Canis lupus familiaris: one gene and its partner. The protein of the gene in region 1 purifies or fractionates together with the protein of each later gene. This does not show direct contact. Links are inferred from orthologs where the notes say so. Each region holds a gene or a part of one and is shown on either strand. Other genes may lie near its edges.

Region 1 (3,809 bases):
ATGATTTTGTGGCTCTGACCGTCTCTGCTCACCCCACATCCATTCGTACCTGCTGGGTTGGTTGCTTCATTCCACTTGTTTCCTAGGGGTCGCTTGTTTGAAACCGTATTTCAGGCTGTCTTTAGGGATTCCCCCTTCACTGCACCTGTGAGTAAGCCCGCCCCTTCTCTTGTTGTAGACGGAGCTGTGAAGAACCCAGTTACATGCAGTTCCTCTCATTCGGGTGCGGCTGGCCCTGTGTGGTCTTGGTTCCCGTCAGCTGTAGTCCTTTCATCTCTTGAAGTTTGGTCCTACTTTGTTCATAATGTGGCCACTGGCTGTAACGGGGGCGTTTACATATCTTAACCAGTTGAACTCTTGAAACAGCTCTATGAGGTAGGCCCACGATCCCCATTTGACAGGTGAGGAAAAGTGAGGCTCACAGAGACTGAACAGCTTTCCTAACGTCACACAAGGTCCTGGCACGTTTTGAGTCTTTCCCTGGAACCCATCATCTCAGGGGTGTGCACTGACCTAGTATTCTCCTTTGTGCCTCTCCGCCAGCCTCCCCGGAGGCACACACTATGCCCTGAGTCCATTCTCTGCTCCGTGGTGGGCCCTGGGTGGGGGCGTGAGCGAGCTGGAGCACGGCCTCTGTGTCCTCCAGCTCGCCCTGGGCGGGTTTTAGGCTTACTGAGCCAGCTGGAGCAGTGGTGGATACCGACCCTTACTCACCGGGAAGATACGTTACCGTGTGAAGAGAATCCACTACCTTTTTGCAGGTGTGATCTTTTTTTTTCTTGTCTTAATTTCTCATCTGGCCTTTCTCTTACAGGTTCGTGCTATGCGCTAACACACAACACAAATATTGATGAAGATAATACTGTTGCCCTGCTGCCAAACGGTAACAACGCTTCTTTTTTTCTTTACTGTTAAGTACCATACAGAAAAAAAAAAGTCAAATCTCCAGATTCACTCGCCTTCTTAGAATGAACTGTTGTTAACAGGCTGGTGTTTATTCTTCTTCACATTTTCTATAAATTTATAAACACACATAAAGCTTGGTTTTTTTTTTAACATAAATTACATTCTACTGAGTTGTTTCTCAATTTTCTTTTTTCTCAATATGTCATAGACATCTTTCCCTATCAGGGCATATAGTTCTGACTTACTATTTTTAAGATTTCGAAGATATTTGAAGGGGAATACCATGATTTGTGTAACCGTTCTTTCTTTAACAGAAATTTAGATAATGTCTGTTTTCGCTGTCATAAATAATGTCCTTGTATGTACAACATATTAAAATATCCCTGGACATAAATAAGATGTATGTATTAACGTCCTTGTGTCATAAAGATCTTTGTATGTAATTTATTATGCTCCTATCTAACTGCTCAACTGGCTGTGCTTTCTTTGAGTGAGAGAACATGTCATATTTTTAACATCTCTTTTATGGAAATTATTTGATTTATAGGGAAATTAATTTTATCACTGGACAAAGACACTTACGAAGAAACTGGCCTTCAAGGTCGTCCATCTCAATATTCTGGCAGAAAAGTCATGAAATTTAGTAAGTATTATGCTCCCATCGGTCTCTAACAAGTCAGTAATCTTCCTGTAGTAATTGAAGTTTAAATGTTAGAATTGCCGCCGTTCTCTTGTTCAGAAGGAACATGGCTTTTTCTTGGCTTTAAGACTTCTGACCCACGGGGCTCTGGGCTGAGCTCTGGAGAGAGTAAGATTGCTGTTGCTTCTGATTCTCCTCGGCTGTGGGCTGTATCTTCTAAGGATCACGGAATCGGAGTGGCCCATTAAATATGTAGGATTTGGGTCAAAAAATTCAAACTGATGAACCCAAGATAAAAGCCTACAACTTGTTCTTCGTGAAGAATTTACTTTTGCCCAGTTTCTGTGATACTAGAGGAGGCACCCCCGTGAGTGAGGAGGTACGGTTGTGCCGAGTGTCCAGCCTGAACATGAATGACAGTGGCTGTCACATCCGCAGATTAGGCTTGACTTTCCAAGGGCCTCTCCTCTTGGGCTGTGACCTAGAAAAAGTATGAATTTAAAACCTCTCTTGTTACTAATTACCAATGCTAGAAATGCCCGTGAAAGGCAGTTTTGGTTTGGTAAACCAAAGGAATGCCAGAAGAACAAGGTAATTTTTGCTATTCATAAAATTCCTTTTTTTTTTTAAGATTTTATTTATTTATTCATGAGAGACACAGAGAGAGAGGCAGAAACACAGGCAGAGGCAGAAGCAGGCCCATGCAGGGAGCCCGACCTGGGACTCGATGCCAGGACCCCAGGATCACATCCTGGGCCAAAGGCGGCGCTAAACCACTGAGCCCCCCGGGCTGCCCCTATTCATAAAATTTCTAAAAATGCTGATGCCTCTTACTATCGGACTTTTTCCACAGTGCAGGCTGCGTGTATACGAATGAACTATTTTTTCCTCTTTCCGTTTTTTTAAGTTGTTTCCATTGATTTGATGGATTTATCCTTTAACCCGAATTCTAAGAAGTACGAAAGAATATCTTGGTCCTTCAAGGAAAAGAAGCCCTTGAAATTTGATTTTCTTTTGGCTTGGCATCATACAGGTATGTAAATTGTGTACCAGTACAATGATTTGGAAATCTAATTTTTAATTAAAGGGGAGTCGTGGAGGACTGAATCGTGGTTCATCCCTGGGGTCTAGGGTATTGTGTACCTGTGTGCATAATCATTATTCAGGAAGCTGCTTCGGGACCCCTGCTTTCCCCTGGAGCCATAGTTCAGGAGGATCTGGGCATGCGGCCATCTGCCTCCGTTTCCTTGGGTTCGTGTCCATCCAGAGATCTTGACACGGGCTTCAGAGCAGCCAACTTCTATTTCTTCCCCCCTCCCTTCTTGCATCTTACCTCAAACAGCCTTGGCTTTGTGTTTTAAAGTAACACAACATGTTGATTATTACAGGGTAAAAATCAGGCAAGCCATTAAACGTCAGATTAAATTTGTTGTAACTTGGAACCTATTAAAACGTTAAATCATGTGAGGTGTTTGGTCACCACATGTACTGATGTGCTGACAACTGCCGTGCGCCTTGCTCCTTGTAGAATGGGTCTCTGGTCCGTCGCAAGATTGCATTGAGTCAGATCATCACAGCTGTGATGGCGTAGTGCTCTTTCCTGGGGAATAGGGAGGACACATAGGTCCATTTGGGAGCTACACCTATCCATCTGCTCTCCATGGGGGGTTTCTGGTCACTGGGGGCTCTAGGTTGCTTGCATGAATCCTCAGTCTGTAACACCTCATTGCTTCTCCTACTGAGGATAGAGGTACAGGAGGGCAGACAGACTGACATTTCAGGTGCATGAAGTTTTCATTGAGGATCACGTGTGCATTGGGCTCTGGAGAGCTCTGTGTTCCTAAGGCTCCAGTTATTTTAAAGGCTTGTCAGCCACTGGGGAACAGGTGAGATTTTCTCCACTTGTAAGCCAAGAAGTTAGGCTGCAGTTTCCTGGATGCTGGCAGGAGACACAAATGGGATTTAATTACTCAGCAATGGCAGTGGCCAGAGGGAAGCACTCGCATCAGTGCAGCAGCTCCTGCTCCCTGCAGGGTGATAGGCAGTTGGCCGGGGGTTACCGCAGGTGCAGGGGCCACGCTACAGGAGAGGGATGCTGAGCTTAAGGAACTCTAGGCGTTTATCCTGGCCAGTGAGCCCACTGCCCTTTGCTCTGGGGTGGAGGAGGGGCGGGGAAAGCAGATAATTTCTGTTGCACTGGACACCAAGCAAGCCTGCCCGTTGCTCCCAAGGGGACCACCATTCCTGTCATCCGAGGCTCTTG
Region 2 (3,501 bases), on another chromosome or scaffold:
AGTGCCACAACTACCCCGCGCTAACGGAATGTGAGGTTCTCCGCTCCCCGCCACGCGCTGCAGGCCGCCTGCGTGTTGTCTGGAGGCTGGGGTGCCTCGGCCTCCGTGGCTGCCCCTCGCGGGGCCCGCGGGAGCTGGTGCACAGCCCCAGTCGCGGCTCCAAGCGGAGCACGACCCCGAGGGCCCCGAGCCCAGCGCGCCGAGTCTACCCTGCAGCCGTTCCCCGAGGGCGGTAGCGGGGTCAGCCCGGGGTCTGAACAGCAGGGGCCGGGACCCAGGACAAACCCGATGCCGAGGAGGCGACAGGAGCGGTGGGAAGGGAGAGGGGCACCCCGGCAGGCAGCCCGGGCTCAGGGCCGGGCCCCGCCACCCCCAGGCCCTGCCAGGCCGCCCGCACTTTCAGGCTTCCCGGCCGCGCCTCCGGGGCTCGCCCCGCGCTGGTCGCCCCCACCCGGGCCGGGGCCGCCCCACTCCCCCGCCCGACGGCGCGGGCCAGGGCAGCGCTGCGGGGGGCCCAGTGCCTGCGAACTTCGCGCCCATCCTGTCCTCCCACCCCAGCCCCCGCTCTGTCCCGCCTCTCCCGGCCGGCGGGGTTCCCGGAGAGGGGCACCCGGTGGCTCCACACCGCCTCCGCGGCCTCCACTTCCCACCTGCCACCCTTCTCCCTCTCAAAACCTGCCTTCCTCGGGCCTCCTTTTTGGAAATGGACCCCACTGGGTGTCAGGGGGCCGCGGCTGACCGTCAACGAGTTCCTCCCGGGACAAAGGGGGGGTCCACGTCACCAGGGAGCAGCGCCGGGCTTACCCCAACAGTGGACGCTCCACGCGCGGAGGCGCGCCCTTGGGAAGGGGCTCTCCCGGGCTCGTCCCACGCGCCGCAGGGGCAGCCTGGCCCACAGCCTCACCCCCGGCCCGGGCCTGCCGGGGTCCGCGAGCTCCAGCTCCGGCTCCACCCGTCCCCGGCCGCCGCGACGTGGCGCTCCGAGGGCAGCGCGGGGGGCAGCGCGGGGCGCAGCTGCAGCCGGGCCCCCGCACTCTGCGGCTCGCGCCCCCGCCGTCCTTGAGGCGGGAGGAGCGGCTCGGGCGCGGGGGGGACGGGGCGCAGGCGTTCCCCCGGGGGGCGGGGGGCAAAACCTCCCTGCGAGGGCACGGGGGGCGCAAGGGCTGGGGCGCCCGGCTCCAGGCGGCTTTGGCGTCGCACACACAGTTTTTACGCAGGTCGCCCGTTGACGAGGGCTGGCTCAGGGAGGGCAGATGGCGACTCCGGGGGAACTGCGCCCCGCAGCTCCGCCCCGGCGCCGCCGCCGCACCTCCCCGCGCACCGCTCCGGTGGCGGGACTCGGGACTGGATCCCGGAGGCGGCCGGGGCTCGGGCGGGGGCGGGGCCTGGCGGGGGCGGGGCCTGGCGGGGGCGGGGCTCCGGGCTCCGGGGCGGGGCGGCCGCTGAAGGCGCGGAGCCCTGGGCGCGGAGAGCGCGGCGGAGAGCGGCGCCCGCTGGAGCCGGTCGGGGGCGAGGATCGCGCCGTCCCAGCCCGCCCGCCGGCGTCCGCGGCGCTCCCGCACCCCGGTACCTGCGGGCCCTGGCCAGGGGCGGCGGCGGCCATGCAGCCCCAGGGCTGAGGCGGCCCCATGGCCAAGTCCGCGCCCCCGCGGTCCCGGCAACGACGGCGCATGGAGAACTTCCGTAAGGTGCGCTCGGAGGAGGCGCCGGGGGGCGAGGGGGCCGAGGGGGGCGGCCCGGGCTCCGGGCCCTTCGCCGACCTGGCGCCGGGCGCTGTGCACATGCGGGTCAAGGAGGGCAGCAAGATCCGGAACCTGCTGGCTTTCGCCACGGCCAGCATGGCGCAGCCCGCCACGCGCGCCATCGTCTTCAGCGGCTGCGGTCGAGCCTCCACCAAGACCGTCACGTGCGCGGAGATCCTCAAGCGCCGCCTGGCGGGCCTGCACCAGGTCACGCGGCTGCGCTACCGGAGCGTGCGCGAGGTGTGGCAAAGCCTCCCGCCGGGGCCCGCGCCGGGGCACAGGCCTGGAGAGCCGGCCGCCAGCCTCAGTGTCCTCAAGAACGTGCCCGGCCTCGCCATCCTGCTCTGCAAGGACGCCCTGGATCCGCGCCAGCCCGGCTACCAGCCCCCGGACGCCCATCCGGGACCCTCGTCGCAGCCCGCCGCGCCGACGTCCAAGCGGGGCCCGGGGGGAGCCGCGGCTGCCGAAGGCTCCGCCAAGCGCCTGCGACCTGAGCCCGGGACCGCGGAGGAGCGTCCGATGGCCTGAGAGCTCGCGGGGCCGGCCCCTCCTGCCCCCGGAGCCCCGACCTTGAGCCGCATCTCCAGCCTTTCATGCCCCGGTGCTCGGTGCCCGGGAGGTGCTCGGGACGTAGCTCCTCGCGCCGTCAGCACCGGGCCCGGGGCTACGGGGCGGGGACCCCAGGGAAGCGTCGTGGGCGCTTGGCTGCTCCGCCACTTGGGCTGCCTGGAGACGCACAAGTCCACCGAGCCATGCCGGGACCTTCTTCCGGGAGGGGACGGTGGGCAGGGGGACTCTTGAGCCTTGCCCAGGACCCCCGAGGATTGGAGGCATCCGGTGTTCCCGAGGACAGTGTGTGGCCCCAGGAGAGCTCTTGGCACCCTCTCCACCGTTGGCGGCTGAGGCAAGGGGCGAGGAAGGACAGCAGACGGCTGGAAGGCAGGACAGTGGGGGGGGGGGGGGCGGTCTATGTCACCTGGGGAAGACCTCTTCCTCTCTAGTTTCCTTACCCTGCTGCTGTTAAGGAGCATCCTGCTATCTTGGTGCAGGGGCGTCCCCATGGGCTCTAGCTCTCTTAACAGTCCCCCTTCCCCTGCTGGCCCAGAAGGACAGACCCCAGACAGAACTCTCTGCCTTACCCCCTGAGCTGGAGTCCTGCTTCCAATAAAACAAACACAAAAATGGCTCTGGCCCCAGGTTTCTTTCTTAGCACTTAACCTATGTGGAAACTGCTTTGGCCTGTGGCCTTGGGTCTCCATCCCCTCCAGCCTGCAGTCTTGTTCCAAGGTGGAACAAGGGGCACGTTGCCCAGTCCCTGGCCTCTTCTCTCAGCTTTCTGTCTGGCTCTAGGCTCAGGGGCTGGTAGCCAGAAGGGGGCCTTTGTGCCCCCTCCCCCCCCCCCGTGCACCACCACTGAGGGAAAGAGAGGAGCTCATTGCTTTCCTGGGAAGGCAGGCAGGCTGGCAGGCCCCAGTGAACTCCCCTGGGGGTCACTGCCAAGGGAGGCACACCCCACCGGGCTCCCTAAACCTGCCGCCTCCTGCCAATTGACAGCCATATCCAGAAAGCTGGCACCAAACCCCTCCTCGCCATCCGTAGGATCTCCCCTTCACTGCTCTCTCAGAAAGGACAGCACACCCTTGGGAGAGGGGGAGGAGACAGACTGAGCACAAATCCACTGCTGGAAATTACTATTCAGCAGAGAAGCTGGAACTTGGGCTGTGAATCACTGCAGGCTCCCTGATAAGCTGCTGCCTCC

Evidence for each region.
Region 2: the proteins of RPP40 (region 1) and RPP25 purify together in Homo sapiens (affinity purification with mass spectrometry; 3 studies listed by BioGRID and IntAct, counting the BioPlex papers as one, with this or other methods). This does not show direct contact. The link is inferred for Canis lupus familiaris from reciprocal best matches to the Homo sapiens genes RPP40 and RPP25.

What each region holds. Positions count from the first base shown.
Region 1 is NC_049256.1:6,406,329-6,410,137, reverse strand, and holds part of RPP40 (ribonuclease P protein subunit p40), read left to right. Parts: intron 1-814; coding exon 815-883; intron 884-1,453; coding exon 1,454-1,549; intron 1,550-2,453; coding exon 2,454-2,579; intron 2,580-3,809. UniProt on the Homo sapiens protein: Component of ribonuclease P, a ribonucleoprotein complex that generates mature tRNA molecules by cleaving their 5'-ends. Also a component of the MRP ribonuclease complex, which cleaves pre-rRNA sequences.
Region 2 is NC_049251.1:38,425,957-38,429,457, reverse strand, and holds RPP25 (ribonuclease P protein subunit p25), read left to right. Parts: upstream 1-1,565; 5' UTR 1,566-1,628; coding exon 1,629-2,270; 3' UTR 2,271-2,926; downstream 2,927-3,501. UniProt on the Homo sapiens protein: Component of ribonuclease P, a ribonucleoprotein complex that generates mature tRNA molecules by cleaving their 5'-ends. Also a component of the MRP ribonuclease complex, which cleaves pre-rRNA sequences.